2 linked regions of the Coturnix japonica genome follow. The protein of the gene in region 1 purifies or fractionates together with the protein of each later gene. This does not show direct contact. Links are inferred from orthologs where the notes say so. Each region holds a gene or a part of one and is shown on either strand. Other genes may lie near its edges.

What was found.
Region 2: the proteins of VPS50 (region 1) and EIPR1 purify together in Homo sapiens (affinity purification with mass spectrometry; 4 studies listed by BioGRID and IntAct, counting the BioPlex papers as one, with this or other methods). This does not show direct contact. The link is inferred for Coturnix japonica from reciprocal best matches to the Homo sapiens genes VPS50 and EIPR1.

The regions. Positions count from the first base shown.
Region 1 is NC_029517.1:20,937,862-20,941,678, forward strand, and holds part of VPS50 (syndetin), read left to right. Parts: intron 1-42; coding exon 43-160; intron 161-245; coding exon 246-281; intron 282-2,505; coding exon 2,506-2,588; intron 2,589-3,259; coding exon 3,260-3,302; intron 3,303-3,817.
Region 2 is NC_029518.1:85,456,929-85,461,310, reverse strand, and holds the start of EIPR1 (EARP and GARP complex-interacting protein 1), read left to right. Parts: upstream 1-1,365; 5' UTR 1,366-1,431; coding exon 1,432-1,473; intron 1,474-4,382. Other genes in the region: TRAPPC12 (trafficking protein particle complex subunit 12), read right to left, coding at 1-757. UniProt on the Homo sapiens protein: Acts as a component of endosomal retrieval machinery that is involved in protein transport from early endosomes to either recycling endosomes or the trans-Golgi network.

The sequences.
Region 1 (3,817 bases):
ATATATCATTAAATTTATCATGTTCATTGTTAATTTACACAGACACCTGAATATTGCAAAGGAAGGCTTCACACAAACCAGTTTGGGACTTCTTGCAAATCAAAGAAAAAGACAGTTGCTTATTGGACTACTGAAGTCTCTGAGGACAATAAAAACACTGGTATATACAGATTTTTTTTCCAGTTAATAGCAGAATATTTTTGTTCATTTCCTTGTAGTTATTAGTGTTTTATTTTTCTTTTCAGCAAAGAACAGATGTGCGTTTAAGTGAGATGCTGGAGGTAAGTCTCTACCAGACTACTGTATCTTGAAGCTATTCTAAATTGTCTTCTGTTAGTCCTCTTAACTATCCCTTCTTCCTTCATCTTATGAACAGGATATGATGGGCCTTTGTGGTGGAATAGTGTGATTCTTTTTATTTAGTGGCTTAATTTTTTAATAGCAAGTTATGTAAAAAGTTGTAGTACACAGGCTATGGCACTAAAGATACTTCTGATAAGGTGTTTGTGTTAGTATACACTACTTAAAATGTAGGAGAAAATGTGCAGGGTGAAAATAAGATCTTGTCTTTAGGTTTTAAAACTGTATGAAAGCTTGGCAAGCTTATTGATGGCTATATTTTAATAATATCATGTACGAATTTTGACTTGTAGATTGCTGAATATTTATAGCTGATGTCAGATCAAATGGAACATCATTGTGATAATCCTTGTGACTCGATTTAGAACCTTACTCATTTTTACTCCTAAGATTCTTAAATCCCATCTTCGGTAACGTACGTTGTTGCTCTTTACCAAACAAGATACATTGATTCACCTGAGGCTGCATCAACATTATCTTTAGCTCACCAAGCCCTGCACACTTATTAGCTTCTTATTTTTTGCTGTACTGTATTGCACAAAAGATCAGGTGTCGTTCTCTGCTCCTAGGAGCTATCATGATGTAGAAAAGTGGCTGTTGCATCTGCACAAATACCCTAATGACAGGTTACCATAATTTTGCCTATGATTTTCGAGTATTAACTGCTGAAGGCACACTTTCTGGCTAAGTGGAGTTCTAGATCAGTGTTCACTCTCTGATCACAAGTACTGTATTCCACATATTAGCCATTTTATTATTATTCTTTTTTTCCAAGAGAAAGATAAAGCTTGGAGGATATGCAAAGGCTACTAGTAGCCATTCAGGGAGGACCATCTAGGTAGGATTTCCAACTAAAAAAGACTGGACAGAGGAAGGTGAGAAACATCTGGGATATATTAGAAATATATACAGTGCAAGCAGGCTTTTTGACTTGAAAGCATGGAACTTGCAACTTTACAGCTCTGGTAGACTTAACGGAGAAAGTCCTGGGTTTACAATGGAGAATAATGCAAAGAGCTGTAATTGCAGCAATCATGTTAAGCTGATTTGCTGTTTAGAGATCATGTAATGGATAAAGTAGGTTTTTCTCAGCATTCCTTTTTTTTTTTTTTCCCCTCCCCCCCCCCCCCCCCTTTTTTTTTTTTTTTAAATAGCAAATCTGTATTATATTTTTATAGTAAATCTGATTTGTATTATAATGCTGCTGCTAAAGCGGTTTCATTTCCGAAATTCCATAGAGGAACTACTATGGTAGTAGCTGAATATAAATTGCTCTTGTGCTTTTGATGTTCAATCACTGAATCTGAAAATTCAGTAACAGCTTTTCATTTGAGCTCTCTGAAGCATGTATTATAATGGATATAACTGGGGAAAAAAGAAGCACAGGAAAGCTGTTAGTAATGAGGATTTTCCTTCCTCTGAGATTCTGGCCAAGACCCTTAATAAAATACAAAAGTAGTAATTATAGCCAAGACACTGTTGGCAGAACCTTGGGGTTGTACAGTCTTGAGCATATAGTTTTGTTTTGTATCATCATATGGTTCCTGGTTTGAATAAGTGTTCTTTTTATAAATTAGAGCAACTTTTTTTTCTTCCCCCAAAGTTTTGGGTTTTTTTCGTCTTGGGGTCTTCTGTTGCGAACTAGTTGTCTACAATTCATTTTCATTAGTTATTGAATGTATCAATGTAAATAGAAAATATTTGTTTTGCATAATACTGGTGTGTCTCTCATGTGTCTCTGTTGGTTTTGCAGCCTGCTTGAATTTACCTCTTCCCCGCTCATAAATGGATTGTGTTGTATTAACAAATGTTTGAAAATTAAATGAGAAAGCTGTTTTTTTAATAAGAGCTTTCTGATACATTTTCTTTGAATCTGTAGGTAAACAAGCATTTGCATAAGAACACAATATGTGCAGTATTTTTAAATGTTGCTCACACCCAATGTTGCCTGCTTAAAATTCTGAATGGTTTGCACATTAATTTTTACAGCAGACCCTCAATAGTTTGCTGTAACTTCACACTATACAAATGTAAGTGGTGAAATATTTTGGTCATTACGTTTATTCATTAGCTTCTAAGGAAGAATGAGTGTTGTGGTGTTTGCTTCCAAAGCCAAATTAGCTTTCTGTTTTATTTTATCCCAAGGAAGAGGACTATCCAGGAGCTATTCAACTATGTTTGGAATGCCAGAAAGCTGCCAGCACTTTCAAACACTACAGTTGTATAAGGTGAGGTGACGTGCTGATCTCACGTTCTGGATATTTGTCAATGATACAAAGCAGTGATGATTATTTCTCAGTCTCTAAAGCAGTTTTGATTTAAACTAGATTTTCTTCTTAGAAATGTAATGTTAAGGGATTTATAAAAGTATGAAGACCCTCAGTGGTGCTGTTCCCCTATACCACTACTAACAAATCACTACTAACGCGATATAACCTCTGCCTGGTCTGTGTCATTGTTTTCTAAGTCTCATAGTATGTTGTCAGGTAAAGTTTTGGCTAAGGCTGAGTTTTGACTGCTACAGATGGATACATTTTAATAAGGAAGTTTTTAACCTGGAATTAATTAACCTTCAGTAAGATGATTTTGGACGGGCAACTTACCTGAATTTTTGGTGATGAAAATAGCTAATATACAGCTTTATGCCACTGAGGTTAAATTGCTTTCAGAATTGAAAATAAGCAGTATGTCTACAGTTTCTAGTTTAGAAATACTTCTTTTTTTGTTTTTGATGAAACAGAAGAAATAATTGGCTGTTTTATAAACGTGTGGTTTGTTACAACTTCAGAGTAATTACCCATAATAATTGATTTAGTTGAGGTCTTTGGCGTTAAGAATACACCACTGTTAGTATGATCAGTAGTTTGATTTCAGACATTTTTTTTTCTTTCATTGATAGCGAGTTGAATTCAAAACTGCAAGATACTTTGGAACAAATAGAGGTAAGAATGAATATGTTGATTTAGTAAATATCAGTAGGTAACCTATACATACTAGTGTATTTAGCATTAAATATTTCTAATGCATTCTCTTTAGCAATTACTGAATGTGCATATTTTTTCAAATATGGTCCTTGGAATGTTATACTCTTTGCTATTCCTGCAGCCTTTTGTGTTGAAATGAACATAAATGGTTTATAATACGGTATCGAATTTATGAGCCCAGCTTGCTGACTGTGTCAACATTAAGTGGTAAAGCAATCCAATAAAAGACATGCAGTAATTTAAGTACTAGAGCAAAGATATGCTCCATGTGTGATAAAGATGCACAGTGGTTAACTGCTATGAATGTGGTCCTAAAAAGTTGTGAAAATTAACCAGAAGCAGCATGCCAATAATAGGTTTGGATAAACTACATGAGAAATGAGTTCCACTGGAAGTTTTAGAGATCAGCAAACTGGAAGCTGCTGGGTAAGGCCAATACTAAGCCAATAAGCAAATAAGACTTGAATAGCTGG
Region 2 (4,382 bases), on another chromosome or scaffold:
CAAAGAACTTGCTTAGACTAGGACTGGGCTGAACCACCTGTGGATTAGACTTCACTGGAGTCTCAATGATACTACTGAAACTGGGAGATTTCACCATCTGAGGCTCGAAGCCATCAGGCAGGAACAGCTGTGGCTGAGCATTAGCATTGTTTGCTTGGCTGAAAATAGTACACACAGGGATAGGCTCAACCTCAGCAGATGGTTTGCTAGTTCTGGGCGATGATGTCTGGTCATCGAGTTTACTTTCCTCAATACCATTTGGCTTTGTTTCAACGGGAATGTTGTTTCCCAACTTTGGTTCATCTTTCTCTGTTTCCTGAATTGATTCCTCCTTTAAAGATGCCTGATCATCAGTTCCAATCTCAGAGATGTCTTTGGGTGTCTCTTCATGTTCAGTTTCACTCTCATTACTTAAAAGCTCTTCTTTGCCCACTTCTGCTTGAGTATTTTGGTTATCCTTAGCTTCCATTTGCTCTACAATCTCCTGCAGGCAACCGAGTTCACCGGTGTCATCTTCACTGTTGTTTGGAGAGTCTGAAATAATGACACTCTCCATCATTTGTTCATTAAGCTTATCTATAAAGTTATTAGAATCTTCTGATACAGTTTCATTCCCTTCAGACTCATCACCACCAAGATCAATGGTTTCCTCATGAAAAAGGATTTCTTCCCGAGTTTTCTGCTGAGTTGCATTTCCTCCGTCCTCTTCATCCAAGGTGCTCTGAGCATCCTTAGCACTGCCTGTACTATTCTCCATGGCACTGAAGGGAGAAAGGATACGCAGAAATTAGTTTGGCCACTCCAAATAACCACATACCAAACAAAAACTGTAACTTTTACACTAAAAACACAGACATGTCACCGTTTGACATTTTTCCTCCAATATCTGCCCAAGGAATGAAATCACAAAACGTCTCTCTTCAGCCCACAGCGTTCCGAGCAAACCCCAAGCGCTGGGATTCGCTGGCAGATACATCCACCTAAGCACACGCAGCAAGACAGCGGCTTTTGTGCCTGCAAGGACTGATCCGGCCTAGGCAGGAAGGGAAGCACGGCTGACACTGACACTAACACTGACACTGGCGCTGCTTCGGCCCCTCCCGCACAGACCGAGGCCGTCCAGGTTCGGGGCCTCCGCAGGGTCCCCCCGGAGCTTCAAGGTGGGCGCAGCACCCCGGGCACCTACTCTCCTCATCCTCCTCTGCGCCCTCCTGCAGGCCCGTGCCCCACTGCCGTCTCATCGGATCCCGTCCACCCCTACTCACCTCACCGCTCGGCCCGCCGCCCCCGCTGCTCTTCCCCACTGCGCCTGCTCCGCCGGCCGAGGAGGGCGGTATTGCGGCTGCGCCGGGTCCGCTCCGTAAAGCGGCCGACGGGCAGCGCCGAGGGTCAGAAAGGAGCAGAGGGGAGAGGCAGGCGGTGTGTGTCGGCATGGAGGACGACGCGCCGGTCATCTACGGGCTGGAGTTCCAGGTGGGTGCGGATGGAAGAGGGTCGGTTCAGCTTTCAGCAGCCGTAGGAGCCGTTGTGCCGCTCCTTGAGGCCCTCGGTGAGCTGAGAGGCCCCGCTGGGGCTGCTCCTTTGCCGTGTCCCTTTGCTGCGATGCTCGGCTGTGTCTCCGGCGTGCCCTGGGCTTCTGCTTCCTTGTCAGCTTCTTGTGTGCTTCTCTAGCAGCCTTCTCTTTTTTTGTGCTGTGTGGATGAGATGCCAGTAGTCTCCAGTAGGTTCTTCAAGCTGTTTCTTCCTTTTCAGGTTCTCCCCCCGCCCCATTCCTATTCTGAGGGTAGAACATGGAACTTAACAAGAAGTTGTGAACTGTACTTGGTTATATCCCTATATACCCTTGGAAAGGGTCCAGAGGAGGGCCACAAAGATGATCAGGGGGCTGGAGCACCTCCCCTATGAGGACAGGCTGAGGGAGTCGGGTTTGTTCAGCCTGGAGAAGAGAAGGTTGCGGGGTGACCTCATTGCAGCCTTTCAATACCTGAAGGGAACTTACTCCCAGGAGGGGAGTAAACTCTTCGAAAGGGCTGACAATGGCAGGATATGGGGAAATGGTTTTAAGTTAAAAGAGGGTAGATTTAGGTTGGATGTTAGGGGGAAGTTCTTCACTAGGAGAGTGGTTAGGCCCTGGAACAGGCTGCCCAGGGAGGTTGTGGATGCCCCGTCCTTGGAAATGTTCAAGTCCAGGTTGGACAGGGCCCTGGGCAACCTGATCTAGTAAATGTGTATGTTTGGTGGCCCTGCCAGGCAGGGGGGTTGGAACTACATGATCCTTGAGGTCCCTTCCAACCCGGGTCATTCTGTGATTCTGTGTGTGATTCTGTGAAAAGTGGTGCAGTTTCTTTCTCTGGAGATATTCAGGACCTGCCTGGATGTCTGCCTGTATGACCCACTGTAGGGAACCTGCTTCAGCAGGGGATTGGGCTAGGTGGGCTTCGGAAGACCCTTACAACTACTATGGTTCTGTGATTTTGGATATAAGGACTGAGCTTCCTCCTGGACTGTCCTACTCTACCTTATGAACCTGTTTAGGAAACGCTTCTTTACAGAAAGGGTAGTTAAACACTGGAATAGGCTCCTCAGGGAGGTGGTTGAGTCACTGTCCCTGGATATGTTTGAGAGTCATTTGGATGTGGTGCTCAGAGAGATGATTTAGCAGAGGGCTGTTAGGCTACTATGGTTAGGCTGTGGTTAGACTTAATGATCTTTGAGGTCTTTTCCAATCTGGGCAATTCTATGATTCTATTGATCATAATGGAGGAATACAATCTCATAGTCAGTGCACTTCTTATAAGTTGTAGGGGAACACCCAGTAAGGCAGCCAGGTAGATGAGAGTGATGCTGTCCCATTGTTCCTTCCCACAATAAGGTTTTACTCAGCTGTTTTTAGCAACAACTTCCCTACTCCTATTGCTGTTGTAATAGGAGAGGCTGTATTTCTTCTGCGGCTCACAGAGCAATATTTTCATTCTACAGCAGATTCAGTAATACAAAGTAATGAAATAAATGCATACCTATGTGCATTTTTTCATTACTAAAATGTTTATGGAAAGTGTTCTGGTGATGTGTGAGGGTTCTGTTTATGAAGTTTGGTGCTCTGTTTACTGAATTGCTTGCTCTGTGATGCTGACTACGCAAATAGATTTGTCTTAGAAAAAATATCTGATTGGTTTTCCTCTCATATCAGAGCTGATGTGTAGCACTGACCTGCACCACAAGTTAAATCTACTCAAGTCTGATAATTTGCCATTGTTTTTTGTGTAGCTTGTACTTAAACATTAATGAAACTATTATTTCTTGTAGAATGTAATATGTCCTCTGTTTTTGTAAAATTCATAGCTTTTTTCTTGGAGGTCTTAATGACAGATTTCTCAGAAATATAGGAAATCTAGCCTGTGTGCCTGGTCATGGGCCTGCACTATTCAGCCTTTCACATCACACATCTCTTGGGGACCTCTTCCCTTCTGCAATGTGTGCAACAGCTCTGGTGGGTTGGGGAAGCAAAAGTACTGAGATGGTGGTAATCAAAGAGAATTACACTTAATTCAGAGCACTTAGAGAGAGGATGGGGGTAAGAAAGCTGGTTTATGACTGCTTCTTCCCAGTGTATGTGTCAGAAGCACTGTGTCTACAGAAGAACTTTTCAGCCTGTTTAATGAATTTTTCTTTTGTTGCTTAAGTTGCTTTTTATTCTTTTATTTTCAGTTCCTGGTAGTCTTTCCTTCATGTCTATGACAAGCTTACTCAAAGCTGAGATTAGAAATGATAAAGCGTTTATAGAGAGGGAGGGATCTTTTTACTTCTATTATTTATATGTCACAAACCCAGGGCACCTAGAAGCTACATTAGAGTTTGCAGACTTGCCCATCCTGTGTTTGTCTCCAGGAGTCAATAACAATCTGATTTTGGATACTGCCTGGAAAAATGTGGCTGTTGTAAGTATGTGTTTGATCTGCTTCAGTGTGGCATGGTATTTAAGTTTAAGAATCTGAAGCTAATTCCTTCTATCACTGCAATACAAGTTTTTCTGCATAATTTCTGGCCAGTTTTAAGTAAGGCAGTTTAGAATAATGTGCAAATACTATTTATTTTTAATTTGGTTTTCATGAAAATACAGCCTAATGGAAGAAGAGTATCTTAGTTCACGTTTCATGAAAACATAAATGGAAGATACAGATTCTGAGCCTTTATACTAGCATATAAGTACTCGCTGTTTGAAACTACTTCGACAAACTTTGATCAATAAATTATTGAATTTCATTCTGTTCAGGACTAGTTTAATTTCCTTTCCCCTGTTTTACCACTTGGTTGCAGATTTTTTTTTTTTTCCTTGTGCTATTTATGTTCATATCATCCTCAAAATGTCTGGTCTTTTTTCT